Linked DNA regions of Cricetulus griseus. The protein of the gene in region 5 purifies or fractionates together with the protein of the main gene of each other region. This does not show direct contact. Links are inferred from orthologs where the notes say so. Each region holds a gene or a part of one and is shown on either strand. Other genes may lie near its edges. The genes, in order: Mta2, Hdac2, Chd4, Mta1 and Bcl11a.

Evidence for each region.
Region 1: the proteins of Bcl11a (region 5) and Mta2 purify together in Homo sapiens (affinity purification with mass spectrometry; 4 studies listed by BioGRID and IntAct, with this or other methods). This does not show direct contact. The link is inferred for Cricetulus griseus from reciprocal best matches to the Homo sapiens genes BCL11A and MTA2.
Region 2: the proteins of Bcl11a (region 5) and Hdac2 purify together in Homo sapiens (affinity purification with mass spectrometry; 4 studies listed by BioGRID and IntAct, with this or other methods). This does not show direct contact. The link is inferred for Cricetulus griseus from reciprocal best matches to the Homo sapiens genes BCL11A and HDAC2.
Region 3: the proteins of Bcl11a (region 5) and Chd4 purify together in Homo sapiens (affinity purification with mass spectrometry; 5 studies listed by BioGRID, with this or other methods). This does not show direct contact. The link is inferred for Cricetulus griseus from reciprocal best matches to the Homo sapiens genes BCL11A and CHD4.
Region 4: the proteins of Bcl11a (region 5) and Mta1 purify together in Homo sapiens (affinity purification with mass spectrometry; 4 studies listed by BioGRID and IntAct, counting the BioPlex papers as one, with this or other methods). This does not show direct contact. The link is inferred for Cricetulus griseus from reciprocal best matches to the Homo sapiens genes BCL11A and MTA1.

The regions. Positions count from the first base shown.
Region 1 is NC_048596.1:51,150,668-51,156,780, reverse strand, and holds the start of Mta2 (metastasis-associated protein MTA2), read left to right. Parts: upstream 1-1,933; 5' UTR 1,934-2,386; coding exon 2,387-2,414; intron 2,415-2,687; exon of another isoform or gene 2,688-2,740; intron 2,741-3,904; coding exon 3,905-3,972; intron 3,973-4,409; coding exon 4,410-4,503; intron 4,504-5,967; coding exon 5,968-6,085; intron 6,086-6,113. Other genes in the region: Eml3 (echinoderm microtubule-associated protein-like 3), read left to right, coding at 591-689, 936-1,066, 1,152-1,355. UniProt on the Homo sapiens protein: May function as a transcriptional coregulator. Acts as a component of the histone deacetylase NuRD complex which participates in the remodeling of chromatin.
Region 2 is NC_048595.1:259,836,895-259,842,999, reverse strand, and holds the start of Hdac2 (histone deacetylase 2), read right to left. Parts: upstream 4,087-6,105; 5' UTR 3,872-4,086; coding exon 3,820-3,871; intron 1-3,819. UniProt on the Homo sapiens protein: Histone deacetylase that catalyzes the deacetylation of lysine residues on the N-terminal part of the core histones (H2A, H2B, H3 and H4).
Region 3 is NC_048601.1:21,319,684-21,325,207, reverse strand, and holds part of Chd4 (chromodomain-helicase-DNA-binding protein 4), read left to right. Parts: intron 1-708; coding exon 709-912; intron 913-1,030; coding exon 1,031-1,236; intron 1,237-1,555; coding exon 1,556-1,687; intron 1,688-1,772; coding exon 1,773-1,869; intron 1,870-2,721; coding exon 2,722-2,913; intron 2,914-3,516; coding exon 3,517-3,717; intron 3,718-3,905; coding exon 3,906-4,043; intron 4,044-4,479; coding exon 4,480-4,601; intron 4,602-4,728; coding exon 4,729-4,902; intron 4,903-5,222; coding exon 5,223-5,364; intron 5,365-5,455; coding exon 5,456-5,524. UniProt on the Homo sapiens protein: ATP-dependent chromatin-remodeling factor that binds and distorts nucleosomal DNA. Acts as a component of the histone deacetylase NuRD complex which participates in the remodeling of chromatin.
Region 4 is NC_048598.1:180,920,088-180,925,611, reverse strand, and holds part of Mta1 (metastasis-associated protein MTA1), read left to right. Parts: intron 1-12; coding exon 13-112; intron 113-389; coding exon 390-578; intron 579-2,671; coding exon 2,672-2,746; intron 2,747-3,081; coding exon 3,082-3,140; intron 3,141-3,454; coding exon 3,455-3,570; intron 3,571-3,837; coding exon 3,838-3,989; intron 3,990-4,090; coding exon 4,091-4,280; intron 4,281-4,405; coding exon 4,406-4,495; intron 4,496-5,524. UniProt on the Homo sapiens protein: Transcriptional coregulator which can act as both a transcriptional corepressor and coactivator. Acts as a component of the histone deacetylase NuRD complex which participates in the remodeling of chromatin.
Region 5 is NW_023276807.1:82,691,519-82,697,538, forward strand, and holds the start of Bcl11a (B-cell lymphoma/leukemia 11A), read right to left. Parts: upstream 4,075-6,020; coding exon 4,020-4,074; intron 1-4,019. UniProt on the Homo sapiens protein: Transcription factor. Associated with the BAF SWI/SNF chromatin remodeling complex. Binds to the 5'-TGACCA-3' sequence motif in regulatory regions of target genes, including a distal promoter of the HBG1 hemoglobin subunit gamma-1 gene.

The DNA.
Region 1 (6,113 bases), on a different chromosome or scaffold from region 5:
AAGGTTGTCTTAGTATAATTTCTCAGGGCAAGTGTGGAGGGGCTAACTTATTTAGGAAGGAAAAACTGATTGGAAACTGTTAGAACTTTATCCAGAGGTTGAGGCAGGAGGGTGGGGAGTTCCAGGCATGACTAGGCTAGGCTCTTTCTCTTCAAGAAAGGGTTTCCTCAATTTTGCCCTGGCTTTCCTAGAACTTGCTTTGTAGACCAGGGGGGACCCAAACTCAGAAATCTGTCTGCCTCTGGCCTTTAATTCCAGTGCTGGGATTAAAGGCATACACCATCATGCTGGGTGTGCTTAGACTATCTTTCTTTCTTTCTTTTTTTTTTTTTTTTGAGACTGGGTTTCTTTGTCTTGGCCCTTGGCTATCCTAGAACTAGGTTTGTAGACCAGGCTGGCCTTGAACTCACAGAGCCTCTATCTCCAGAGTGCTGGGACTAAAGGTGTGTAACAACCATCCTGGCTGGACTTAGATTGTCTTAAAGTCAAACGAAATCAAACTACAGTGAGAACTCAGAAATCACATAGTGAGGTTCATAATGGATCAGGTCACCTTCCCAGCTGAGCTGGTTGGGGCAATTTCTACCTAGGGGACGTGGCTGGAGGCTGCAAGCTTCTAAGGAATCGCTATGAGAGCAGAGACCGGGAGTGGGCTACCTACACCTGTGTGCTAGGCTTCCACGTGTATGGTAAGTAGTGAAGCCAGCATGCAGCCGAGCCCTTTAGCAGGGCTGGGAAAAGAAGGTGGAACCCATTCTTGGATCAGAATGTTGGGTGTGTGTCATGTGTCATGGCGGGGGGGGGGGGAGAGGCAAATCCAGGCCAACAGGTCCCTTTGGGAATGGAGAGGATTGTCTGGAGGTAGCCTGGAAATCCTAAGCACTGCAGCTCTAGGTTGTGGAAAGTGCCCTGGCTGAGGCTACCTGTTGTGTTAGGTGTGTGGCCTGATGGCTCTGATGGGACAGACATCAACTCCCTTTGCCGCTCCCACAATGAACGTGTGGTGGCTGTAGCAGACGACTTCTGCAAAGTACACCTTTTCCAGTATCCGTGCGCTCGAGCCAAGGTGAGTCTTTAGAGGACCGTTGGGCCCCAGTGGGTAGTCTTGGGACCCTATCACTGCTGTGACTGTACATTTTTTTCTGGTGCAGGCGCCAAGCCGTATGTACTCAGGCCACGGCAGTCACGTGACTAGCGTCCGGTTCACGCATGACGACTCATACCTCGTCTCCCTAGGTGGCAAGGACGCCAGTATCTTTCAGTGGCGAGTGTTGGGCGCTGGGGGCTCTGGGCCCTCTCCTGTCACGCCTTCTAGAACTCCCTCTCTGTCCCCTGCCTCCTCCCTGGACGTGTGATGAATGCTGGATGGTTTTGTCCCTCTGGTACTGTGGCCTTGCCCCGCCCTGGCCAAAACCCCTAGGACCAAGTGCAGCCCTTTTCCTGGGCTGGCTTTTTCTTTGATTTCAGTACATTCCCAGTTGCGCATTTTCCTGGAGGGGCGAACCGCCCCATTGCACACACGATAACGACTCGCTGGCTGAACCAGGCAACCCCAGCTCTGACTCCCTTTGCCTGGTGAGGGGCAATAAAAAGAAAGAAAGTCACCGCTTGGTGCTTTTGTGGAGTGCGGCGGTTGCCTCAGGGGCCCGGTAGGGTTGGGATGAAAGAAAAAAGTGCAGGGCGGGAAGGGAAAAAAGGAGCTCGGACCAAATATGCAAATAACAGGCAAAGCGGCTTGCAAATAACCTCAAGAAGCGCGAGGGTGCGCGCGCGCCTTGCGAGGCCACTGTCGGAGCTGCAGGGACACATAGAGTAAAGAGTTAAATGCGGCTCCCTGCCGCCCTCGGGGGCGGGGTCGAGCTGCAACGGAAATAACCGAGCGCGGGGCCGCGGCTGAGCGAAAAGAGCCGAGTTCCTTCCGGAAGTGGCCGATCTGCGGGGTCTTGCTCTCCGACCTGAGCCGAGCGCTGGGCCTTGTTCTCCGGATCGGCCGAAGGTGTTCCGGAAGGAGGCGAACCCGGACGCGGGCAGGGCAAACCTTCTCAGGGGCTGGCACCATACGGCGTCTGCTGGGACTCGGTGAAGACGCTAGGAGCCGGAATCTGTCTCCGGTCAGGCAGGAACCGAGCTCGTTCCGGAAGAAGCCGAGCAGACCGGCGCCGGCCTGGGTATCCCGGGCGTGAGGCTATAGCAGTGTCGTCGTGGTCTTCGTGCGAGCAGTGATGAACCGCGACGGCTGAGCGAGCAGAGGTGCCGGCTGCGCGGGCCCCATCGACACTTCCGCGAAGCGTCAGCCCCACGCTGGGGGCATCGTCTGGAGCTAAGCTTTACCCCCGCGAGCCTCCGGGTCCTCTTTGTGCGGCCGGAGGCCGCGGCGGGAACGGCCATGGCGGCTAACATGTACCGTGTGGGAGGTGAGTACACCGGGCGGAAGAGGTTGGGGACGGGACCAGGGAGACTCGGTGTCCGCAGGCGCGGGGAGCAACATCTGGGGTCGTAGGGGCCACAGCGCCGACCGGAACCGGAACCGAGACCTATGGTTCCGCGGCGGCGACGCTACTGGGAGCCGAGTCTCCCGCAGAGGCTTACCTACAACGATCGGTGCTCTTGAGTCTGCGACTGGATCCCGGGGTGGGAAGTAGGCTTGGTTTGGAAGGGGACTGAGTGACTGCGGGGCCAGCTGCGGGGAGCCAGTCGCTCAGGGGTTTTCTTTTCTTTGGCGGCTTGTTCGTTCACGAAGGTGAGGCCTGAGGTGGGGGGAACAATTTACTCAATTCTCCCACGCAGGGGTGCAACTCCAATGCAGAGTTGTGTGGACTACAGGGAAATCCTTGTTATCTTTTTCCCCCTCCTCTCTCACTTCTTGGTTTTTCGACTCTGTCTGTCTGTCTCTTTGGTTTTTCGAGACAGGGATTCTCTGTAGCTCTGGCAGTCCTGGAACGCACTCTGTAGACCAGGCTGGCTTCGAACTCAGAGATCCTCTTGAGTGCTAGGATCTGACTTTTGAGTGAGAATCTGATTTTAGCGCTAAGTGTTGCAAGGGTGGGAGTAAAAACTTTTCTCCCTCCCCCCCCGCCCCCCCCCCCCGGCTGTCTTAGAACTCAGGAAATAGACCAGGTTGGCATCGGACTCAGATCCACCTGCCTCTGCCTCCCTCTGCTGGGATTAAAGGTGTGAGCAATCACTGTCTGGATAATTCTTTTATTTCTTTTCTCGTTCTTTTTTTTTTTTTTTTCCTCGAGACGGTTGATACTTATTTTCTTTTGTTTTCTCGAGACAGGCTTTCTCTGTCTATCCTTGGCTGTCCTGGAAATTGCTCTATAGACCAGGCTGTCCTCGAACTGGAAGAGATCTGCTTACCTCGGCTTCCTGAGTGCTGTTGGCCACCACTGCCCAACTAATACTTTTCTTTTGCGGGGGTGGGGGGATGGGGGGTGGGGTTCGAGACAGAGTTTCTCTGCGGCTTTGGAGGCTGTCCTGGAACTAACTCTGTAGACCAGGCTGGTCTCAAACTCAACAGGGAACCACCTGCCTCTGCCTCCTGAGTGCTGGGGTTAAATGCATGCGCCACCACCTTCTCTAATACCTATTTTCTTTTCTTTTTTTTTTTTTTTTTTTTGGTTTTTCGAGACAGGTTTTTCTCTGTGTAGCTTTGGAGCCTATCCTGGAACTCGCTTTTGTAGACCAGGCTGGTCTCGAACTCACAGAGATCCACCTGCTTCTGCTGGGATTAAAGGCGTGCATCACCAACACCCAGCTATACTTCTTTTCTTAAGTCTTTCCTCTTGCACATCTCCACATCTCTACCTAGCATTTTGTCTTTTTTTGGTCCACCCAAATCCACTTTCTCTTCTGGGTGCTCTGGTTTTCTTCTGATCTTGTTTCTCCCCACCCCCTTCTACAGATTACGTCTATTTTGAGAACTCCTCTAGCAATCCTTACCTGGTTAGACGGATTGAGGAGCTAAACAAGGTGAGTGGAGCAGAAATGGAGCAGTTTCTTTCTTCTGGAGTCTAACTCCAAGTGGAAGGGAGAGCCAGCCTTACCTAGGCTTAGAGCCTATACAGGTGAGCGAGCGTTCATTCCATGTATAGAGCTGCTGAGAGCTTAGCTGAAGCTTTATCATTCTCACATCTGGGGATAAAAGAATCCTGTCTCTGTTGTTTTTTTTTTGTTTTTTTAAATATACAGTGTCTATTTTGCAGCCTTGGTTGCCTGGAACTTTCTGTGTGATCAGGTTAGCAAACTTATGGAGACCCATCTCATTGGTCCTGTAATTATCTTTGAATATTAAGTCTTCATTGCTGAGTTTTTGGCCTCTTCTACTTAAGTCCTTAGAGAGTGCCTGTTAGTGTACCTCCACTTTCAAATGGCTAATTTTCATTGCCCTGTTTTTCTTCCTTCTTTAGACTGCCAATGGCAATGTGGAAGCAAAGGTTGTCTGTCTCTTCAGGAGAAGGGATATTTCTAGTAGCCTCAACAGCCTGGCTGACAGTAATGCTAGTGAGTGTCTTCATTCCTTCCCCTTTCCCCCCTCCCCAGGATCTGAGGACTAGACTTGTTCCTGCAGGTGTTTCCCCTGGTAACACGCCCAAGGCAGGGTATGAGTTTGGAGGTGGGAAGTGCCTGGTCTGCAGAGCAAGGCCTGTTGTTACATGTTGGGGCTGGGGCTGGAAGCCGGGTGGGGAGACCATGATCAGAAAAGCCAGAATGTGGTGTGTGTGTGTGTGTGTGTGTGTGTGTGTGTGTGTGTGTGTGTGTGTGTGTGTGTGTGTGTGTAAGGAGAGATACTTAGATAGGGAATGAAAAGAGCTTTAGAGAAGGCACGTGGGGACATTTTGGGTACTTTGGGACAGTGGTTAGTGAGCGATGGTCAAGGTGGAGAGGAAGATACTGTTTTGAGAATCCTGCATAGTAATGGGGGAGGCTTATCCTGTCGTCTGGAGGTGAAGCCAAAACATTGACGAAGCTGACGGAAGCTAGAGGGCAGGAAAGCGCTTGAGCTTTCCTGTTTCCCTCTCTATTCCAGTTATCATCTGCCTTACTTCATCTTCTCATTTTTCCCATTTAACTACTTTGCCTCTTTTTTTCCCTAAAGTTTTCTTTTTTCAGGCCACAGCCATGAAAGAGTTAATGAGCTGGGCCTACCAAGTTTCCTGGCCCTTTGGGGTTTCTAGCCCCATCTGGCAGGGGCTGACCTTGGCTTTGTCCAATCAGAATGGGTAGGGGGTGTGGTCCTCCTTGCCCTCCCCTGGGTTTTCTAGAGCACACCAGGGAGAGGTGGAGCCTACTACACAGACACAGGACCTCCCCCACCTCCCCACTTGCTGTGGTACACCCAGTTCTTCAGGGGAACAATGCACCAATGAACAAGTGCTTAAGTTTCTATCCCGCCCACTTTGTTTGGCACTTAGCCAGGTTAACTGTTTCCACCAAGATTTCAGTGCAAGCTGCTGCCTCTTGAGGAAGGTGTTGGCTCTGGTTTGAGAGGTGCTTTTCTTGAAAGCCCCACAGACTATTATTAACCAAGTAGAAAGAGAAGGAGAAGTCAGTTGCATGTGATATTCAGGTACAGCAAAGAGTCCTGAAGCATGAAGAGGAGCTGATAAATAAATCCTGTGTGCTGTTCTTACATCTTAGCTGGATTCTAGGACGTCAGGCTGGTTCAGCAAGAAAGAGCTAAATGTAACATACAGTATTGTGGCTATATTTGTGTGTTAGAGCGGCATCAGCATTGGCAACTAGGTTTGGGGCGCATTTCTATGGCATCCTTATGCAGGTCTCCCCTTCATGGAATTAAAGAGAGGACTGAGCATCCACAGTGAGGCGTGAGGCCAAAAGGGAAAGCTGGGCGAGTGAGGGTGAGATGCCCGAGGGAACTGAGACAGCAGCTGAGGTAGGGTGTTCTTTAGCTGAGCTAGTTAGCCACCTCGGAGTACCTTGTTTCTGACTTGTTCCTTCCTCTAGGGGAGTTTGAGGAGGAATCAAAGCAGCCGGGGGTCTCAGAGCAGCAGAGACATCAACTGAAACACCGAGAGCTCTTTCTTTCTCGGCAGTTTGAATCATTACCTGCCACCCACATAAGGTATAGGAGGGTCTGGGTCCCTGTGGCC
Region 2 (6,105 bases), on a different chromosome or scaffold from region 5:
GGAAATGGGATTCAAAAGCTCTGGAAATGTCTTCAGAGTTATCTACCAAATTTAAATGCTGCATGAGACAACATCAGTATTCACAAACTGCCTCAATGCTTCATTAGCACAGGTCTGTCACCAAAAAACAATTATCCATTTCATGGACAGTAAAGATTTATACAGCTGCTAAAAGCTAATGCAGTTGTACTAAAAATTACCTAGCAAGACACTGACACCACCATAAAATAAATCTGACAACAGGTGGCTGCTCTGTAGAAGTCTTGTATCTGTTAAGTGAGGAGTACATTGGGAGGCATGGTTTTGATAATTGTGATAGCCCTTATTTGTGTTGACTTTCTCTGGACCATGTCTCTAAACATTTTGATTATGATTATCTCCATCAGAGAAAAATAAGCGAAGTGTAAAGCAATTGATGCTTAATTATATAAATTATGCATACATTCAATTCTATTATACTGTATTCATTAGAAGGCACTATAGGATTGATCCCAAGCTTCATTCAAAACAAGGCATAGTTTATGTTTCCAGATCAATTAAAAATGTGAGCATTGCAATTAGAATCAAATGTACCTCAATCTGCTAAATTACACTTAAGTAGAGAAAAATAACATCAGTTTAAGGTCAGAAAGGATCTTAGTGTCTACCTAATTAGCTATAATTTGCTATCTATCATTTTACAAAGCACTGTCTTTTAGTATATAAAGAATGACCAACATTCAAAAGTGTTTCTGGAAACTACAGAGATGTCAATAGCCACAGTCCACCAATTAAGAACAACTCTAATTTCTCTTCTGAGGTATAGGGATAGATAGCTCATATACCCATATCCCAAGGTTCACAGAAGATCAGCGGATTTGTGATTTAAAGGGTACAATTCCAAAGACTACAGAACACAGAGAAAACCACATTTATCTTCAGAGTATTCTTCATTAAGCACACAGAGAAAACACTCTAAGTTGCCTAGAGGCTCAGTGTGTGCCTATTGGCCCCATTAAACCTACAAAGAAGAGGACAGCCATGGTTACAGGATTTGCTTCTTCACTGCTTTTCTTTTCCTTCCCTCTACTTCCTCTACCAACCAAGTTAAAACCAGCTAGCTTAGAGTGGGATGGTGCTGGCATGAGCCTTTAATCCCAGTACTCAGGAGGCAGAGGCAGGCGGATCTGTGACTTTGAGGCCAGCCTGGTCTACAGAGTGAGTTCCAGGACAGTCAGTGCTACACTGAGAAACCCTGCCTCGAAAAACAGAACAAAAAACCCCAGCTAGCTTAAACTAGTATATTATTCAAGTCCCATTACTACTGGTATTGCCCTTTGCCAACCCAACCCTTTGTGCATCTAAAAGTCATATGCTTTTCTTATACAAAATTACTTTACTTGGCACCCTCTGTCCACAATTTAAAAGACAATTAAGTCACTGCTTTTTTTTTGAAAACAAGAATAGGGTTTGGCATTGAAGACAGAAGTGTAGAGAATAATTTGTGTAGTCTAGCATGTCATCCCATGTTAATCAGCATAACCATGACATCAATTTAAGAATCTCTGTGGTTTTGTTAGCTCCCCCAAATGCAAATATTCAGAAGTTAAGTAAGTGTATTCTAAATACACACCAAGTAAGAACAGACAAGAGACAGATAACCCAGCAGACTTCCACCATCAGTTATACAGTTGGTTGCTTACAACTAGGCATATGTAAAAAATCAAATGACTGAAAACCTCCTCCATTCCTCCCATCTCTGTGACCAGTGCCTATCCTGCCCCTCAACAATGGCTCACCTCCAAACATGAACTCAGGAACCAATAGCTGCTCAGGAAACAGCTACAGTCCTGTTTGACAACAGCAGCTGACAGCTGAAGGTCCTAAGCACCCGTTCCGACTGTTAAACCTTTCTAACAAAAATCGAGCCTTTACTTTAGAAAAGCTATAATTATAATTTTTCAAATTCATTTACAGGGTTACATCTTTTCCAGTGGATCAGAGAATGCAGGACAAGTGTTTGCCATGAATCCAACTTCACAATGTAATTCAAGTTTAAACTGACAGGTTCTCCCATCTCTTCCCTCCATGATGGTGTAACTTCACATAAATTTATTCAACACATACATAGTCCTCTGAAATTTAAGCTGGGCACGCCTTTAAGGACTCACCTTTAAGGACTCACCTTTAATCCCAGCACGTGGAGACAGAGGCATGTGGATGGATCTCTGTAAGTGAGACATCAGCCTACATAGTGAATTCTAGGGCAGTCAGGACCACATACAGAGAGGCTGTCTCAAAAAAAAAAAAAAAAAAAAAAAAGCCCCCAAACAAAACAAAATGTCATTTAGATAGTCTTCTCTATTTTCTCCTAGCTTTCTGCAAGGTTTTTGATTTTCCAGCCAAAGACATGGGTGTCTTTCATTATTATTATTATTATCATTATTATTAAAACAGGTATTAATGCTCAACAGGGGTGGCACACACCTTTAACCCAAACACTTGGGAGGCAGAAACAGGAGGATTTCTGGGAGTTCAAGTCCAGCCTGGTCTACAGATCGAGTTCCATGACAGCCAGGGATACACCTAGAGAAACCCTGTCTCTAACCGCCCCCTACCACCCCCCCAAAAAAAATCCAAGCATTAAAAATTTCCACCAAACCAAGAATAGGTAGGACTATTTTCAAGTTAAAGTCAGTTTCATTCAGCCTAGGATCTCTAGGCTCTTATCTACCTCTCCAAGATACTGTGACTTCAACACAAAAAATATAGAAAACAGCTCCCAACTTTGCATTGCTTTGTAGATTATCAGTCAGGTCTTTCAGGGCAATGAGGCTAGTTCTGTCAAATTATTCCTTCTCTCAACAGTCATCTACTAATGTCTTGGTGAAATCCGAAAGACAGGGCATTACTTAGTGTAACTGAGACCCGAGACCTGCTCAGCCTATAGAACTCAGACAATTATTGCCCATACTCCAAATCACCCCTTACCACCACCTTGTACCATTCACTAACTACATTGTGAGCTCCACCCTACCTGTTTGGAATATTTAGTTCACTTCTCAAAAGTTTCCTGCAGCAGGGTCCCCACCACCCTTCCTAAGCAAGGTGCCCATGTTTTCTCCTAACCCCCCCAGAGCAGGGTATAACTGCATATCGAACAAAGAGCAACAAAGACGTGGGTGGTAACAACCTCCCACAGAGGCATGCTAGGACCCATCTAGTAGGAACAACTCCAAGCTTACCTCCCTCCTCTTACTACTTCCCCACAGGCCTGCCTAGCTCCAACTCCAAACCCCTAATTGTCACCGAGGAAGTGCATGCAGCCCTTCAGTCCGAACCCTGAGAAAGAGGCGCTCAAAGAACCCGGCGAACAAAGGCGAGGGATGGAGTCCACGCAAAACACGAGCGAGACAGCGCCGCTCTGCGAACTTGGCCTCCCGCCAGGAGTAACTCCTCCGCAGCCCCACCCGAGCGGCGGGGTCCCGGTGAGGCTTGGAAGCGCAGCACAGACAGATCGCCAGCAAGAAGGGGGACCCGGCGAGCGGGGGAGGGGACGGGGACGTGGGGCGGAGCTCCAGGCCGCCGGCTTTGTGTAGTCAGGCCCGGGGTGCCGAGTGGGGTTCCTCGGGGACCGGTTCGAGGCAGTACACCCCAAACCTGCGCGTGCCCGTGCGGAGGACCCGAGAGGAGCCAGGGCGGCCGTCTCCGGGCCACGACCGCGAAGCCGGGTAGGCCGTGTCCCTGTCCCCGCAGACAGCCACCCTTAACACCCCGAGCGGCGCGTCCGCTCCGCCGCGCCCTCCCCGCAGCCCCGCCGTTGGCTCCACGGCCACCCACCGTCATAGTAGTAGCACACTTTCTTCTTGCCGCCTCCTTGACTGTACGCCATGGGCTCGGGACGCCGCCTCCCTCCCGGCTGCGGCTCCTCCTCCGGCTGCTCCCGCCCGCCGCGGCCCGGCGGCCAGACAAGGGGGACTGAGGGGACAGCGGGCGCGGCGGCCCGCGGAACAAGGACGGCCCGGAGCGAGATGGGAGCCGGAGCCGGGAAGGCAGTGATCACCGAGCGGGGGTGGCAGCGGCGCCGACGCGCGACACTCGGCGGGGGAGGCCCAGGGTGGCGGGGCTGGGAGGCGGGCGCGACCACTATGGAGTGACAGGGGAAACCGCGTCTGCAGACGGACGCAGGGGTCGGTTAGGCGTGGACGCCGCCGGATGGGGCGGGAGGGGTGTAGTGACAGTTAGGTCGTACGCAGTCCCGAGGTGCGAGGGAGCGGATCTCGGCTCCGCGCTCGCAGCCCGGACCCCCGCAGCCGTCGGGTTCCCCCTCCGATCTGCAGGTACTGGTTGCGCCCGGACTGAGCCTGCGCACTCGGCGCCTGCTCAAACGTATCCCGGGCTGTCTGGACCCCTCCGCGGGGCCCACGCCGCTCCCCTCCCCCACCACCGCGACGCTCCGGCCCCAGCCCGCCACGTGCCGCGGGGACCCCGAGAGGAACCCGCTTGAGCACTCCCCAGGGCTTCAGAAGGTGGTGCTCTCCCGCTGTGTGGTGGTCGGAGATTCTCACGCCTTCCGAGATTCGCGTGTTCTCCTCCCCTCCTCAGCCCCTGATAACTCTTCGTTACTGACTTAGAGACTTTAATGGCAGGTTGTACCTCCTGGATTGAATAAGTATTCGTGGGACTTGAGTATAAGCACGGTTCTGAGCACCGATATGTGTTTATAAAGCTGTCAAAAGTGCTGGCATTCACGTGCATGTCCATTTCTTTATAGGCTCCAGTAGATGGGGGGAGTGTGATGCTGTCAACGGCTAAGGAATGGTCTGAGGACCGGAGGGGTGTCGAACTTTATCAGACTCCACATGCTTTGCCTACTGCATCAGACTGGATGTGGTATTGGCTGGGCACTGGGAGAAGAGCAGAAATCCAAAGAAAGGATTTGAAAAATTGAGTCCCTGTGTTTAATAGAGTGACATTTATTGAGCACCTGTGTAAGCCATCCTGCAAGGCCCAGGGAAAGGATGGGAGCTGACAGTCTAATGCAACACTCGCATCTCCTAACTATTACCATTTATAATTCCTTCTACATGCACACAAGCACACTGCCTCCTCCCTAAAGAGGTGATATTAAAGTAAGATCCAGCAATTCCACTCTTAGGCATATACCCAAAAGAAGTACATTCATACAGCAGGGACATATGTTCAACCATGTTCATAGCAGCACTATTTGTAATAGCCAGAAACTGGAAGCAGCCTAGATGCCCCTCAACCGAAGAATGGATAGAGAAAATGTGGTACATTTACACAATGGAGTACTACTCAGCGGAAAAAAAAAAAAAAAAAAAAAACAATGGAATCTTGAAATTTGCAGGAAAATGGATGGATCTAGAAGAAACCATTCTGAGCCAGGTAACCCAATCGCAAAAAGACAAACATGGTATGTACTCGCTCATATGGGATTTTAGATTTAAGAGTAAGGATTACCAGCCTACAATCCACACTGCCAAAGAAGCTAATAAACAAGGAGGTCCCTAAGAGAGACATACATGGTCCCCTGGAGAAGGGGAGAGGTTCAAGATCTGCTGAGCAAATTGGGAGCACAGGAAGAAGGGGGAGGGAGCTAGGAGAATGAGAAGGGGAGAAGAAGAGGGATGCCGAGGACATGAGGGAGCAGAAAGTATGAGTCAGGGGAAGAATACATGATAACAAGAATGGAGATATCATAATTGAGGGAGACATTTTTGGTTTACAGAGAAATCAGGCACTAGGGAAATTTCTGGAGATCTAGATGACACCAGCTACCTATCTCAGCAACGAAGGAGAGGCTACCTTAAATGCCCTCCCCTGATTATGTGATTGATGACTGACTTATATGCCATCCTGTAGCCTTCATCCAACAGCTGGTGGAAGTAGAAGCAGACACCAATAACTAATCACTGAACTGAACTGGGACCCAGATGCAGAGAAGGACCAGTGAAGAGCACAGAGGTTCAGACCAGGCTGGTGAAACCCACAGAAACAGCTGACCTGAACATCCGGGAACTCTTGCTCCCTGGTCTGATAGCTGGAATACCATGTGCCTTTTAAGTTCTACACTTAACGTATTACAGTTGCCCATAACTTGTC
Region 3 (5,524 bases), on a different chromosome or scaffold from region 5:
TCTGCCTCCCCAGTGCTGGCATCAAAGACTTAGGTCATCAGGCTCTCTGTAGTTTTTAATTTTTATTTTTCTGGGCATGATGGTACATTCCTTTAATTCTAGCAGAGGCAGTCAGATCTCTGTGAGTTTAAGGTTGGTCTGGTCTGTATATTGACTTTCAGGCCAGCTAGGGCTCTTCAGTGAGACTTAGCTGAAAATCAAAAAAACTGTCTGTGTGTGTTGTATATGCATGCACATGTATGTGCAGGGATCCAGGCCTCTTGTGTACCCAGGCCAGGAAAGGAGCAGTGTTCTACTCTATGATTCCACCTTATTCCTTTGGAAAGAATATTAACAAGTCTTACTAAACCTGAAGCTGTGCTGGCAGCTAGCAGGCTCCCGTGATCCTTCCTTTCATCTGCTCCCATGGCACTGGGGTTGCAGGTGTGCATGACTCTGTGTGACTTTCTGTGTGGGTGCTGGCAATTTTGTTTTATGATGGGTGTTTTTGTTGACTGTATGTGTAGACACAGTGTGTATTCAGTGAGAGAAGGTTTCAGATCCCCTGGAACTGGAGTTACAAATTACTGTTAGCCACGATGGGAATGCTGGGAATCAAATGCTGTTCCTTTGGAAGACCAGCAAGTTTCATCTTGCCAAATGCTGGCCATTTGAACTCATGTTCTCATCCTTGTGCAGCTTTTTGAGATAAAGTGATCTCTTTTTCAGTGTCCAGCTCTTAAGGGCAAAGTGCAGAAGATCCTGATTTGGAAGTGGGGCCAGCCGCCGTCTCCCACACCAGTGCCTCGGCCTCCAGATGCTGATCCTAATACCCCTTCTCCCAAACCCCTGGAGGGGCGGCCAGAGAGACAGTTCTTTGTAAAATGGCAAGGCATGTCTTACTGGCACTGCTCCTGGGTATCAGAACTGCAGGTGAGCCTGGGACAGGCTGTGTATGTGGGGTGATACTGCAGAGGTGTTGAGAAAACAGCCTTGTGAGTAGGGGCTGGATGGAGTTTCAGGGTGGTTTACTTTCTCTTCCCCCTCCCAGTTGGAGCTGCACTGTCAGGTGATGTTCCGAAACTACCAGCGGAAGAATGATATGGATGAGCCACCTTCTGGGGACTTTGGTGGAGATGAAGAGAAGAGCCGAAAGCGAAAGAACAAGGACCCTAAGTTTGCAGAGATGGAAGAGCGCTTCTATCGCTATGGAATAAAGCCGGAGTGGATGATGATCCACCGAATCCTCAACCACAGGTACCAGCTTGGCTCCCTGGAGGTGGTGTACTTAGGGGCTCTTTCTAAAGGAGTTAGGAATTAGCAGATGGCCATCGCCAGTGACTTAGGCTCTGTAATTAGGTTCTGTAATTCAGTGACCGAGTCCTGGAATTTGGCCCATAGGGAGAGCATAAGTTAGAGATTAGTGGTCCAGAGACAGATATCATTGAGGCTTTGAATACATGTGGAGTCTGGCACATTTAGAATGGTTTTGTCAGTTTTTAAGAGCAAGACTGACTGGGGAGGTGAGGAAAGTTGCTTTCTGGCTCTGAGGAGTTGTTCTTTATTGACCTTGTAGTGTGGACAAGAAGGGCCATGTTCACTACTTAATCAAGTGGCGAGACTTACCCTATGATCAGGCATCTTGGGAGAGTGAGGATGTGGAGATCCAGGACTATGACCTGTTCAAGCAGGGCTACTGGAATCACAGGTAGGTGATCAAACGGACAGGGGAAAGAGTAGAGCTGCCCCCTTGAAGGGACCCCTAGGCAGCTGTGGTCCATTTCCATTCCTAGGGAGTTAATGAGGGGAGAGGAAGGACGGCCAGGCAAGAAGCTCAAGAAGGTGAAGCTTCGGAAACTGGAGAGGCCTCCGGAGACCCCAACTGTTGATGTGAGTTGGGTGGAAGAGGAAGGGCATCGTTTGTTGGGTGGGCAGTATGTCTTGCCTGCTGCATTCTCATGGTGAGTGAGGCTGTGAGTCACAGCCTACAGATGGCTCTGGCTAAGATGTTCTGGAGACATCACATCCTCCCTTTTAAGTAAAAAAACCTGGGGTTTCATTCATTCTTCATCAGGAAAAGCAAACCCACAGAAGGGATATTATATGTGATGACAGGTATTATCTAGGGAGTGGTCTTCTATATACAAGGGCTTATTTATTTATTTATTTGAGAAAGGCAGGGTCTCATAGCTGAGGCTGGCCTTGAACTGATCTTCCTGTCGCCACCTCCCACATGCTTTGATTGCAGGTGTGTACCACCATCACACCTAGCTTCCTGGCAGATCTAGTGGAATCAGTGTATTCATATTTTTTAAATTTCATTTAAAAATTTTTCATATTTTTTAAATAATCTATTATTTTAATAGCATCGCTGTTTTGCCTGCCTGTATGTCTGTGTCAGATCAGAGTTACAGACCATTGTTAGCTGCCATGTGGGTGCTGGGAATTGTATCCAAGTCCTCTGGAAGAACAGTGAGTGTTCTCACCACTGAGCTATTTTTCCAGTCCCTGGTTTTCATATGAACTCAATCCTTCTGTTTTAGCCTCCGAAGTACTAGGACTACAGGCAGGTGCTACTATGCCTGGCTTCCTTAAGGGTTTGTTTGCGTGGTTTTTGTTTTTATTTTAGCTCTTAGAGGAAAAAAAAAAGTCTAGTGAGGAAGTGTGAAGGAGGAAGTAGCTACTGTCTTATGGGAAAAAGGGAAATCTTTACCAGCTCTTACCTTCTTTCTCATCCTTCAGCCGACAGTGAAGTATGAGCGACAACCTGAGTACCTGGATGCCACAGGTGGAACCTTGCACCCCTACCAAATGGAAGGCTTAAACTGGCTGCGCTTCTCCTGGGCTCAGGGTACTGACACCATCTTGGCTGATGAAATGGGCCTTGGGAAGACTGTGCAGACAGCAGTCTTTCTCTATTCCCTCTACAAGGAGGTAAGGATGGCAGATGTTAGTTTTTGATGTGGGTATTTATTTCGTGATTGTTTTCTTTTCTTGCACTTTGAGGAGAGGGAGGAAGGGAAGAAGAAAGCCTGACTTTGAACACTGCTGAGGGCTAGGAAGACATAGGTCGGCTGTGGAAATTTTTAAAATATTTTGTTTGTGAAGGTGTTTTACCTGTAAGTATGTCTGTCCACCACTTGTGGAGGCCAGAGGCCAGTTTCAGGTGTGAAACTGGAGTTACTGATGGAGCCATCATGTGGGTCCTGGGATCTGAACTAGATCCTTTGCAAGGGCAGCCAGGGCTCTTAACCAGTGAGCCATCTCTCTAGACCCTACCGTGGAAGTGCTAGGGTAAACCGAATTGTGATTGGATTAGTGGTAGGGAAAGTCTTGGTGGAGCTTGGCTTCAGGGTGGGTGTTGTGTTTTGGAAAAGAGAGGGTCAGACAGTTGTGAAATGGGGACAGTGAGTGGGGCAGTGGTGAAGGTGTCAGGCCCCAACTTCGCTGAGGGTTGGGGGGTGGTTGGGGGTAGGTGGAGTCTGGGCTTTAAGATGATGCAGCTTTTAGTCCTGATTCTGCCTGCTTTCTCCCTAGGGTCATTCCAAAGGCCCCTTCTTAGTGAGTGCTCCTCTTTCTACTATCATCAACTGGGAGCGAGAGTTTGAGATGTGGGCTCCTGATATGTACGTGGTAACCTATGTGGGTGACAAGGACAGCCGTGCTATCATCAGGGAGAATGAGTTCTCCTTTGAGGACAATGCCATTCGTGGTGGCAAGAAGGCTTCCCGAATGAAGGTATCTCAGTGCCGGGAGGAGGAGGTCACTGTTTGAAAGGGATTCACTGCTTTGGGCTTAGTTTGCTGCCTCACCTGGTCTCTAAGGCAAAAGGATAACTCTGGGAGTGGGGAAAGCCCACCTGTCTCTGGCTATGTTGATATTGGAGGAGTGGACCAGTAATGAATAACCAACTCATCTTTATGCAGAAAGAAGCATCTGTGAAATTTCATGTTCTGCTGACATCCTATGAATTGATCACCATTGATATGGCCATCTTAGGTTCTATTGATTGGGCCTGCCTCATTGTGGATGAAGCCCATCGTCTAAAGAACAATCAATCTAAGGTGAGTAGGATGGGAGGTAATAGTCTCTAGTTTTAGTCTCTTGGGAGCATCCTTTCTTTGAAATAAACCTAAATAGAGAAGAAAGGAAAAATGGTCTTTTTCATTCCATACCTGTGGTAGCACTTCTGTGGCCTGGCCTTTAAGAATGAAAGGGGGAGGCGGGAGTGGCTGGACAGATGGCTCAGTGGTTCTTCCATAGGACCTGGGTTCAATTCCTAGCACCCACATGGCAGCTTTCAACGGCCTATACCTCTACCTCCAGGGGATCCAACACTCTCACACAGACATGCAGGCAAAACAACAATGCACATAAAAATAAATAAATCATTAATTCAAAAAAAAAAGAATGATGCCAGCCATGGGATGAGAGAATTAATTTCACTGTATTCTGTAGAGATATATCAGTGTTCTGATTTCTTGAATTTCGTCTCTTCAGTTTTTCCGAGTTTTGAACGGTTACTCACTACAGCATAAGCTGTTGCTAACTGGGACTCCATTACAAAACAATCTGGAGGAATTGTTTCATCTGCTCAACTTTCTCACCCCTGAGAGATTCCAGTAAGTGTGTTTATTATGGTCAGTCCATGGTTATCCTTTTAGTTCTTCTGATGCCCATTTCCTATATTACTTTCCTTCCTTTGTTTCTCCCTCTCCAAAGACTATCTTTTTTTTCTTTTTCCTGAAGCAATTTGGAAGGCTTCTTGGAGGAATTTGCTGACATTGCTAAAGAGGACCAGATAAAAAAACTACATGATATGCTGGGGCCTCACATGTTGCGGCGGCTCAAAGCTGATGTATTCAAGAATATGCCATCCAAGACAGAACTGATTGTGCGCGTGGAGCTGAGCCCCATGCAGAAGTGAGTGTGAAGCCTAGAAGCACAACTCATTCTGTAGTACAGTTAGACACCCGCCATTTGGCCAAGGGTTTGTCCCACATAGCTTCTCGGCATCTGGTGACAGAAGCAGGTAGGGCCTGAAGAAACCTGATAGCTGGGAGCTGGAGTTTGTAGTTCTTAGTTATACCTTCCTGTGTCTAACATGACGGCGGTGTGGCTAGTGCTTGTTAGCTTAGCCCCACAGTGAGGAATGTTGGAAAGATGATCTCAGGCTGTTGGGGTTGCTTCATTAGTCATTTAAAGACTCGAATCCAGCCTGTCCTTGCATCTTGCTCACGTAGGAAATACTACAAGTATATTCTCACTCGGAATTTTGAAGCACTTAATGCTCGAGGTGGTGGCAACCAGGTTTCCCTGCTGAATGTGGTGATGGATCTTAAGAAGTGCTGCAACCACCCCTACCTCTTCCCAGTAGCAGCAATGGTAAGTTGTGCCACCTCTGTCTTCCCTGGTTGGTTGCTCACTCCTCCTTGTGGACTTTCTTTCAATATGTTTTCCTTTGCTCTGTCACCAGGAAGCTCCTAAGATGCCTAATGGCATGTATGATGGCAGTGCCCTAATCAGAGCATCTGGGAAATTGTTG
Region 4 (5,524 bases), on a different chromosome or scaffold from region 5:
CCCTCTCCCCAGCTCCGTGGGCACCTTTGCACGGGCCCTGGATTGCAGCAGCTCCGTGCGGCAGCCTAGCCTGCACATGAGTGCCGCGGCAGCCTCCCGAGACATCACCCTGGTGAGTGGGCCACTGCCACCTCCCTGCTCTCTTCTGGGGTCCTAGCAAGGTAACTGAGGACTTCAGCGACTTCTGCTACACCTTAGATTTGTCTAACACACGCCAAGGGAGTTAGGGAGGGATTCCTACCAATTCCCACCCAGGGGCCTTGGCAGCCACTAGATTGTCACCTTGAGACCTGAAGGAGTGGGGGCAGGGGGTCACATCGCAGGTTCAGGAAGATGCTCCTTAGGGTCTGGGGACAGCCTGGACCCAGGGGAGCTCTGCTGTCTTCCAGTTCCATGCCATGGACACGCTGCACAAGAACATCTATGACATCTCCAAGGCCATTTCAGCCCTCGTGCCGCAGGGTGGGCCGGTGCTCTGCAGGGATGAAATGGAAGAGTGGTCTGCATCGGAAGCCAACCTTTTTGAGGAAGCTCTGGAAAAATATGGGAAGGATTTCACAGACATTCAGCAAGATTTTGTAAGTGCTTAAGTGAGGCTGGGGTAGTGGCTAGCCAGGCCCCACCTCTCACCCAGGAAGATGCCTGTGCCTATGGCTAGGCCTCAGCCCTTTGAGTCCAGTGAGCGCTGAGCAGGCCTAGGCTCTCACTGTGGAGCTAGGAGAACAACCGTGGAGGTTTCCCTGAGGCACCCTCAAGACTTCCCGGCTGCTTGGACTCGTTTCTGTTTTGTTCTTAACTAAGCTGACCCTCCCTCCTGTGTGCAGTGCCAGCCAAGTCTTTACTATGATAGAGCCTAAGCCCTCAGAGCCCCCCAGCTCCCCAAAGGACTGAAGAGTGGGATCATGTCTGTATGAGCTGAGGCAGCTGGGCCACCTTCCCCACAGCCTTGAGGAGATAGGGTTACTAGCATCCAGGATGTAGTGAGTGGAATATGTTACCCACTGGAGTACCGTCAAACAATGCCGATAACCCCAGCATTCAGGAGACTCAGGCAGGATTATGAGTTTGAGACCAGCCTGGGAAATAGTGAGAACCTGCTACAAACCCACAAACAAACCCAGTAGCAAGCCTAGGCCAGGGTGGGAGAGCCAGGAGCGTGCAGGGTGCTTACTCAGGCATAGGCAGAAGGGCTGAGGGAGTGTCTGTCTCTGGGAGGCCCAGGTGCTGGTCACTCCCATGGCCCACAGAACCCACAGTCTCTGCTGGACAGCCTGGCATGTAACTGGATTTGAAAAAAAAGTACAAGCTTTTTAGACAAAAAGTAGAATGAGAAGAACGGGACAGAAAGAAAACAACAGTGGAACAGAGCTGGCAATGTTTGAGGGGGGCTGGGCGTGGCTGCTACAGTGGGGGACAGCCCTGCAGAATCTGCACGTTCCTAGATGCAGTTCAGCAGGTAAACTGAGTCTGTCAGAGACCCAGAAGAAAGGGCTGCAGAGCCACCTGCTAGAGGGCAAGGCCTGCTGGCTAGAGGGCCAAGTGAACCAAGTACAGAAACAGGATTCTGCACAGAACAGACAAGCCCACCTTCTGTGTCACCCGGTGCTGTCGTGGGTCTGCTCTCAGGAAATGGTTCGTGTAGATCAAGCTGATAGATATTAAAGAAACAAAGTTTTCAGGTGACATTTCTAACCATCATGCCAGCCTTAAAGACTGAAGCCCTAGCCTTGAGGCATAGCTCAGTGGTAGGTAGGATGCTGGCCTTGTATAGGCAAGGCCCAGGGTTTGATCCCTAACACTGCCAGAAAAACAACCTGTTGAGCCCTTTTTAATTAAAAGTGCCATTTTAGCCTGGCATTGGTGGCGCATGCCTTTAATCCCAGCACTTGGGAGGTAGAGGCAGGCGGATCTCTGTGAGTTCGAGGCCAGCCTGGTCTCCAGAGCGAGTGCCAGGACAGGCTTCAAAGCTACACAGAGAAACCCTGTCTCAAAAAAAAAAAAAAAAAAAAAAAAAAAAAAAAAAAAGTGCCATTTTAAACAGCAGCTTGAGGTGTGAAGACTAAACTTCAGTCATTTGGCCTGAGGCTTAGGCAGCACTGGAGGGAGGGCAAGGTGAAGGGGCTCTATACACTGCTATGTGCTGAAAGATAAAAGCCACTCCAGCCCCTCAACACTGAGCTAAATACGAAGGTGGAGGACAACTAACCCAGAGAAGCAGCAAATATGTCTTTCCAGCTAAGGTGAAGGGCAGCCCGACTGCTGCAAGGGGTCTCTCCTCCTGGGTGGGCCCCCTTGTGCACCTGAGAATGGGTAGCTCGTGACACCCATCAGTCCATGGTCCAGTCTGCCTTTGGCAAGAGACCTTGTGCTACGTTGTCTCCTGGCGGGAGGCAGAAGGGCAGGCAACGGGGTCTGCCCATCTTGTCCTCTTCGTCTCTGGTCCTTGGTAAGGACAGAACCAAGTTCTTGTCGTCTTGCTCAGGTCCCAGACTCAGACATAATGGAAATGACTCTAGCGTGGGTGTTGAGGGGAAGGTCAGCCACACACTCCTGTGGTTAGCACTGAAGGAGGGGGACCAGAATTGACCTCCCAGCACTGCCCTTGCCACCCTGCTCCCTATCTGGGCAGTAGTCCAGTTCCTACCACCCATGATGCCTTGTCTCACCCCAGCTCCCCTGGAAATCGCTCACCAGCATCATTGAATATTACTACATGTGGAAGACGACCGACAGATACGTCCAGCAGGTGGGCCCTCCCCACAACCTACCTCGTCCCTCCCCACAGTCTCTGTGTAGTCACATTAATTTGTTCCCAAAGACCTCCCCCTAACCCTGGAGCAAAGAGGAAGAAGCCATGGTCTCTAGAGGATGCACAGACAGGAGGAAGGGACATTCCTGAACCCTAGCCACCTGAAGCCTCCACTTCCTGGCCCTAGGATGGCCAGAGAGAGCCATGCAAAATTTTCTCGAGTCTTTCCCAGGGGAGCCAGTGATGGAGAAACAATGATGTTCCCCTCCCTGTGGTCTTCTAGCTGCCCTGGCCAGCCTGGTGACCTTCATAACCCTCTGTTTTGTTTTAAGAAACGTTTGAAAGCAGCTGAAGCGGAGAGCAAGTTAAAGCAGGTTTATATTCCCAACTAGTAAGTCCATTCCTATGTTCCTGGGGGCCATTGGTGGATGGGCAGTGACTGTGGGGCTCTTAGGATCCACTGGGGTCAGGCGGCCTCCTGAGCTAAGTCAAAGAACCTCCATCACCCTTTTCATGAGCTTGCTTAGCTTGGGAGGAGGGGTCAGGACTCGAGTTCCTTTGGCCTAGGAGTCAAGCTGGGTTTAGTGCTCAGCATATTGGGGCATGGGGTGTGGCAGCGAAGACACAGTGAACCAAGGGGACAGGGATGTCTGCTGGGATACAGACACTGCAGGGCACCTGTGACTGATCCTTCTCCTCCATCAGTAACAAGCCAAATCCAAACCAGATCAGCGCCAACAGTGTCAAGGCCAGTGTAGTGAATGGCACAGGGACACCAGGCCAGAGCCCCGGGGCTGGCCGGGCCTGCGAGAGCTGTTACAGTAAGTGCTGTGCCTGGCACCCACCCTGGGCAGCAGGGGCCACGGGAATGCTACTTCGTGGCTGTGGTGCTCATGGGACCTCTGAAGGCCCCTGTGCCCAGACCTGGAATGACTCGCTGCAGTGGTGCTGCCGGGGGTGGGGGTGGGGCTAAGGGGGTGGCGGGGGTGGGTGGGATGAGTGTGGTGGCGGTGGGGACACTGTGGGATGCTCTCTGCACCGTTGGTTCTGCTTAAGAATCCGTCTATCTCCAACTTTGTTGTCCGTAGCCACACAGTCTTACCAGTGGTATTCTTGGGGTCCCCCTAACATGCAGTGTCGCCTCTGCGCTTCTTGCTGGACATATTGGAAGAAATACGGTGGCTTGAAAATGCCAACCCGGCTAGATGGAGAGAGGCCGGGACCAAATCGCAATAACATGGTAAGTGCGGCATGCCATGCTTGTCGCCTGCCGCAGGTAGGCCTCAGGCCCTTGGCCTCTAGTCACGGTGCTGTGTTGGGGTGGTGTGCTCCGCTCCACAGAGTCCCCACGGCATCCCAGCCCGGAGCAGTGGGAGCCCCAAGTTTGCCATGAAGACAAGGCAGGCCTTCTACCTGCACACTACCAAGCTGACACGCATTGCCCGGCGCTTGTGCCGTGAGATCCTACGCCCATGGCATGCCGCGCGACACCCCTACATGCCCATCAACAGTGCAGCAATCAAGGCTGAGTGTGAGTCAGTCCCTTTCTTGGATCCGGTAGGAGCCACACCCATGCAGTGTGTTCAGGCCGGGGTCAAGGTGGTGGCCCCAACTCTGGGGGATCACAGCCCTTCACCCTACCTCGTCCTCCTTTAGGCACTGCACGGCTGCCGGAAGCGTCCCAGAGCCCACTGGTGCTGAAGCAGGTAGTGCGGAAGCCCCTGGAGGCTGTACTCCGGTATCTTGGTAAGCTGGGGGTGGGGTGGGGCGTAACTTTAACTCAAATCCTAACAACCTGTCGGGAAACCTTGCGCGGTCACCAGCACTCCGCTTCTGGCCTGGGTTGCACTGTGCTGGGCTCAGGATACCCACAGAGGGCAGTTCTGCCTCCTGTCCCATCCTTGGTCCCAAGTCCCAGGCCCTCTGTCCCTCACACCCCTGGCATACCCAGTAGCCCTGTGTCCTGTTGGAGACAGGGTTTCTGCCATGTAGCCCTGGCTCTCCTGGCACTCACTCTGTAGACCAGGCTGGCCTCAAACTCACAGAGATCCTCCTGCTTCTGTTTCTCAAGTGCCGGGATTAAAGGCGTGCGCCACCACACCTGACTTATGACTAAGGTTTAGGCCAGGTGTAACCCAACCTACAGCAAGTCAACAAAGGCAGGGTGGACACCATTGCAGACCTTTGTGAGCCCTTGGTGGCCAAGGTGCTCACTTGGCTGGCAGCCTTGCAGGGATCGTTCCTTGCTTGTGTGGGTCTGGGCACTGCTGAGGTTCTTAGGCAGTGCCACTGGCCATTTAGAAATGGCACATTCTGAGGTGGAGCCAGACACTTGGGGTCATTTGTTTGCGGTGTTTAAGTGGACTTGAGTCCGTCCTCCAGCATGGAGGTTGCAGTCCTTCTAGAAAGGACATTCCAGAACCATGAGCTAAGTGTGTTCATTGCAGACACAAGTGTCTTTGGCTTTGATCCCTATCCGGGGTCCTGGGCCCCAGGGTCAGCTATGTCCTTGTTCCCTAGGAGGATGTGGTCAGTGCCAGGCCCCGCCTTCTGTGGGGTGGGTCCTCGCTCAGCCAGCCAGGCAGTTCAGTGTCTGGCCAGTAGCCAGTCTTCTGCCATCAGACCTGGTGGCCTGGATGTAGAGGCTGCCTGATGGGACTGCTATGTTTATGGGCTGTGTCTGGATCTTGTAAGCTCTTAGCACTTACCCAGCAATTGTGTCCAAGACAGCAGGCTTGGCTGCCACCCCTCCCTAAGGGATCCTGGGTAGCCCTC
Region 5 (6,020 bases):
ACTGGACGATCTCACTGTCTCAGCTACCGCAGATCGAGATATATGTATATATTTGTATTTATGTCTCTCTTCTCCTCTCCCGCCACCCCGCTGTAAACATTAAAAGAGGGGTCAAAATCCTTGTAAGAAATGTTGGGAGAAAGAAGGTAAGAAAACCAGGGCTGCTGGGGGAGGGGGAGGGGGAAATGGGAGCTATGTCTTCAAGTTTGCTTTCCAAGTGGATTTTCTTACACGATAAAGCAAACGGAGGCTGAAAAATCAGGAAGGCAAAGCAAAGAAACAAAAGCAAAGCCAAAGGCGACAGGCCGGGGGCCGGGGGCCGAGAGCCGGGGCCCTGCGGGAGTAGGCCGCTTAGAAAGTGAAGTTGGGCACCGGGGCTCCCCGGCACAAAGCGAGCAGCCTCCTTCCTGGCTGCAGGCTCAGGCCGTGCACAGCGAACACGTGCAGCAGCTACCCGCAGTCCCAGCTTGGAGGAGGCGGGTGGCCCGAGGACTCGGCTGCCGCCTCCACGCCCATTCCGCCCGGCTACCGCCGAGTGCCGGTTCCCTGAAGCAGCCAGTTGGTGAAAAGGGAAGTAAGGTTTGGAAAACTGAGCTGGATAACCTGATCAAGTCTTGGCTTCATCCCGCACACCCAGAGCGCGGGTCCTGAAATGCATTCTGTGTGCACAAGCTAATACTTTTACTTTGGAAGATCTGTGCAAATGTGTTTCACCCGCAATTCCGGGCACCGTGTGCGCGCCAGGCGGCGACCGCGGTTATTCATTATTAATGACGCTGCTAGCCCGCATCATTATGATGATAACTATTACTATTGTTGTGATTTCGGGCTTCCAGGCGAGAGCTGCAGGAGGCGGGGAGGGGGAGCGTCGGGTTGCCAAGCCGTCCGGTAAGCCTGCGGTGGCCGCGGAGACGTGCGCTGTGCGCGGGGATGGGGGTGGAAAAAAAGTGATCCTAGGGGCCAAGGGCAAACTTGCCATACCCCTGCTTTCGGCCAGCTCCAAGCTCGAGAGCATACTCCCCCTTCCTGGATACCAAAAATGCCTTCCCTGAAAGGACCCTAAAGTGCACCAGGCTCCGCGCAGGGAGCTGCGGGATCTCCTTGCACGTGGGGGTGTCGGCAGCGCGCCCCGGCGCTTCTACACGGCCCTAGCCAAAAGCATTTTTTTAAGTCAAAATGAAGAACAAAGACCTAAGGGGTAATGGGGGGTGGAGAAAGGGAATTCTGCCTAACCGTTCCTTGCCCCCCACCCCCACTCTCCCAACGCTCGTCCCTCCCCCGCCGAGAAACGCCGGGCAGCGAGTGGGGGAGGCTCTGGTACAGGTTCAAGTTCGCTGAGCTTTTCTTGATCTTGTTCTGCCTCCTAGCGACCAAATGGCTCATTCAGTCCACGTAGCTGAGGACGGGGGTGGGGGTGGGAGGTGGGGGGGGATTGTCCTAAGGACCCGGAGGTTCCTGCCCTCTGAGCACCCAGAAAATGAAATAAGTGATCCCTGCACATACCCCTCCAACTGTCCTCCTAGTCCAGTGTCCCTCCCCCGGACAGCAGAGACTAATCCTCCCAGACTGGAGAGTCCCAGAAGGGACCCAAGTGGGAGGAGAGTAGTGAGCAGCTCGGACTGCGCCTCCCAGACTGTCCCTTGCGCCCCCATGGCATCCTTCCGACTGTCCCAAAGTCCCGGCTTTCCCGAGTCTTGCGAACACTGCCCTTCCTTCCCGCCGGTACCTGGCCGGGCTGTAACTTCACACCGTCGCGCGCCGCGTCTGCTCTGTATCCGGCGCGGCCGGTGGGAGTGGGGGCGGGGGAGAGCGGCGAGGGAGAGATGCGCGGGGGTGGGGAGAGGGAGGGCCCCGCAACGTGCCAGGGCGGGGGAGCTTCCGAAGTGTGTGACAAGTTCCTCGGCCCAGAGTTGGGGGGGGGATCAATTCCCATTGAGCACCCCTCCCTCAACAAATCCAGAAGAGAACATAGGGGGTCCCTTCAAGCTTTCGTCAAAAATTAAGAGTCACGAATAAGAGGATTTGATGGAGAGGGAGGGGGGCATGCCTTTCCTTACTGGACTCAAAGTTTCCTAAGTACCCACCATCAGCCTCTCCAAGCACACCTTCAGGTGGAGTTAATCACCACCGCCACTAGCACACTTACATAAACTCACAGGAGGAACCCCTGACCAAGACAGGCCCAGGGTATAGGGCAAGAACCCAAGGATGAGTCTCGCTGAGTCCAGGGACCCTGCACCCCCAAAACGCATACACAGCACACTTCTTACCTGCCCCGCCCCCCTCCTCAACCTAGCCAGGCAACTGCTTTGGTCCAGGAGGCTACTGGCCAGATTGGGAGGGGGGCAGGGAAAGCACGTGGTAACTAACCTCCCGGCCGCCCAAAGTTAAGAACCAGAGGAATCTAAGAGTACCCCGGGTGTAATGGAGAGCACTATTAGAACTCGCCTTTACAGTTGCTTTGCAAAATAAAAATGTTTTGCAAAACCGAGTTTCATCCTGCAGCTTTCGCTGTCTGGGAGGTCGAAGGGAAAGCTGGGCATTGTGTTAGGGGCGGACCGGAGCGCAGGCCGGGCTGGCGGAGTCGCGGCGTGGCCTGCCGCGGTGCCTGGCGGGTGGGCGGCGAGCGCCTGGTGGGCGATCCCGACTCCAGACTGGGGTGCGGCGAGGTCGGGCGAGGCCCGGCCGCTGTGGCCGCCTGCTCCGGGGCTGCCGCGGCGCGCTCGGTCCTCTGTCTGTTTGTTGGCAGGAGGCTCCCGCACACGCGGTGCTTGTAAACATTCAGACACGAGATTTTTCCCAATCAAAATCCACTTCCACTTTTTTTGAAAATCTTCCAAAAAATAGTAAGAGGAGGGAGTTCCTCACTCCCTCTCCATGCCGCCGGCGCTCTAAGTTTGCAACTTGATGGGGGCTTGGGGAAGGGGTGTCAAGGATTTTTTTTTCTTCTATTTTTTTCTTTTCTTTTTTTTTCTCTATTAAAGATCGTGGAATTTCTTCAGGGGTGGGGGATGTGGACGAATCCCAGGAAAGCGGTGAAAAATATGACTGGTGGAACATTTGGTTTCTTTTGGGGGGCAAGAAATTGTACATTCTTTTGCGTTACTTTTTTTTTTTTTTTTAACGCGTCTTCGCCTCGTCTCCTCCTGGGCTCAGCCAGGAGGGGCGGGCAACGGCAACCCGCCGGCGGCGGCTCGTGCGCCCTCCCTCCCTCTACCGCGTGCCCCGGGCCGCCTCCTCACTCGGCCCTTGCTCCTGCCCTTCCGCGGCGGTGGCGGCGCAGGAGGGCAAGCGCGAGGAGCCCGCACAAAAGGCGGCGGGACAAACACCCACCTCCGGCCGGAACAAAAGACGGCAGCGCCGGGCGCGACTCCGATCCTTCCCGGTCACCCGGCTCTCCCAGCCCCTGCAGCCCCTCTCTCCGGAACCGGCTGCCTGGGAAGCGCCGGGGGGCCCCTTCTACAGTCCCACTTTCGTACTATTGTGGGGGTGACTACTTTCCTCCCTCTGCACACTTGACCGTGCACATATTAGTGTCCTAAGGCCAGTCTCACCCCAGGAATTGTTTTTAGACTTGACGCCCTCCCTCCCCCCTCCATTTTCCTATAGTGAAGTAGAAACAACCCCCCTTTCCTTCCAGCTCCCACCCCCAGGTTTGCATGTGAGTTGTTCGCATCCTTAGCATTGTTCATTATTTTTGCAAAACTGAGGTAGAAATCATAGCATTCCTTTTTGAAAGAAGAAATACAGCGGCGGAGAGGAGGAAAGAGGAGGAGTCAATTTTTTTATAAAATTAAAAGGTGCGTGCCGTCTCAAAAGTGCACACACGGTTCTCGTTCGAGAGGGGATATGGGGCTTTTTCCCCTTTAATATCTTTTTACCCCAACTAACGAAGGTTTTTTTACCTGAAAAAAATTTTAATGCATGCACACACCCCTCTCTCAACCTCACTCTTGCTTAGCGTCCTGCGCGCCCTCGTGATTATTAATAATTATTATTACTATTATTGGGTTACTTACGCGAGAATTCCCGTTTGCTTAAGTGCTGGGGTTTGCCTTGCTTGCGGCGAGACATGGTGGGCTGCGGGGCGGGCGGCGGCGGCGGCGGCGTGCGGACGACGGCTCGGTTCACATCGGGAGAGCCGGGTTAGAAAGAAGGAGACTCCAGAGAAAATATCTTCATCAGTGCCTTTTGACATCCAAAATAAATTAGAAATAATACAAAGATGGCGCAGGGAAGATGAATTGTGGGAGAGCCGTCATGGCTTTTTTTTAAGCAAAAAAAAAAAAGAGAGAGAGAGAGAGAGAAGAGAGATAGAGGGAGAGAGAGAGAGAGATGAAAAAAATGGCAAAAGCCCCCCTGAGCTGCAAGTTCAAGTGCGGACGTGACGTCCCTGCGAACTTGAACGTCAGGAGTCTGGATGGACAGAGACACACAAAACATGGGCAGGGCGAGCAGGAGAGAAGGGGAGGAGGGAAGGGGAAGCTCACACCAATGGACACACATCAGGGGCTGGACATGAAAAAGAGACCAGGACAAGCCAATGGCCAGTGCGGGGCGGGGGAGGTGTGGGGCGGGGGGCTCCGCAGACGCCAGACGCGGCCCTGGGGGAGGGCGGGCGGAGGGGAGGGGCTCTGGGGCGGCTGGCTCACCAGTGGCCGCAGCGAGCGCCGCGGCGGTGGCGTGGCCGGGAGAGAAGAAAGGGACGGCGGGGTGGGAGGGAGGAGTGAGGGGGAGCAAGACTTGCGCCCTGCTCCACTCCCCCTCCACACACACACACTCACCGACCCTAAAATGAAAAATTATTTGGGTGGGGGAGGGAGCAAGAGTGCTCCAGGACGCTGCAGCCCAGAGCCAGGGAGGCGCGGGCGGAGGGAAGCCAGGTAGAGTGGGTCCCGGACACCCTCCTCCATGCGCACACCCACTTCCCCTCCCAGCCAGCGGACGCCGAGGGTTGGAGTGCAAGCCCCGAGCCCGCGGCAGCGCTCTGGAAACTTTGCCCAAGGAAAGCTAGGAAAGAAAAAATCACCCGAAGTTGAGAGCTGAGCCTCCAAGTTAGAGCTCGGCAGCGGGCGAGGGGAGACGGGAGGGAGCGCGCGGGAGAGCGAAATCCAGCCCAAGTTTGGAGGGTCGCGGGTCCGGAAGGCCAGCTCCGGGGCCTGAGGGAGCAGAAGCCGCCTGGAGAGAGGGGGTTGGGGCGAGGCCGACGGCGCAGGCCTAGGCTCAAGGGCCGAGAGCGCGCCCCCAAGGCCAAGGCAGGGACTCGGAATCTGAGCGACCCAACTAACGATCGGGTCTGAATGCCACCTACAAAAGCCGTGAGTCCCCAGCTACCAAGGGTCGCAGAAAGAGGGGCCGAGATACAAAGCCCGAGAAGCCAGATTCCGGGTGCGTTCCAGTCCCCAGAGGGGAGCACCCGGGGCCGGGGCTCGAGGCACCCAGGCGTCCACCTCGGAGCTGTCCCCGGCCAGAGGACAAAGCACGGGTAGCCCCCAGATTCCTAGTCTCTGGGAACCTGCTCCCGGCGCTGCGGGAGGTCCTTGAGCCTGCTTCCAAGGAGGGACACACCCCCTCCCACTCCAGGGCAAATGCAAAAGCACTGAGCAAAGGGAAGGAAAATGTTTCTTGAGGACAGAACACAATTGTTCCTTAGCTGTTACACGAGGAAAGAGAAAATAGGGAAAGGAATGAAACTGTCTAGCAGGAGCAGCCAGGAGGCTGCTGTGGTGAGGCCCTCGGGTCACGGCCGCGCTGCCCAGGCGCCAGCAGCCACCGCGCGCACACGGGAGCCCAAAGCCCCCTCGGTTCCCCTCTGCAGCCCTTCCCTGGAATTAGGAAAGACCTGTTGGAAATAAACCCCTGTCTCTTTAATGCACACACGCGCGCGCGCTGCCGCTGTCAAAAAGCGGGCTTCACTCTGGCGTGGGATACTTTCAGTTTTACGTAAAATGTACAGCAACAGCACCCCCTGCGATTGGAAAGTTTATTCAGAAACGTGCTGCAAAGTCCCTTGGCGTCTC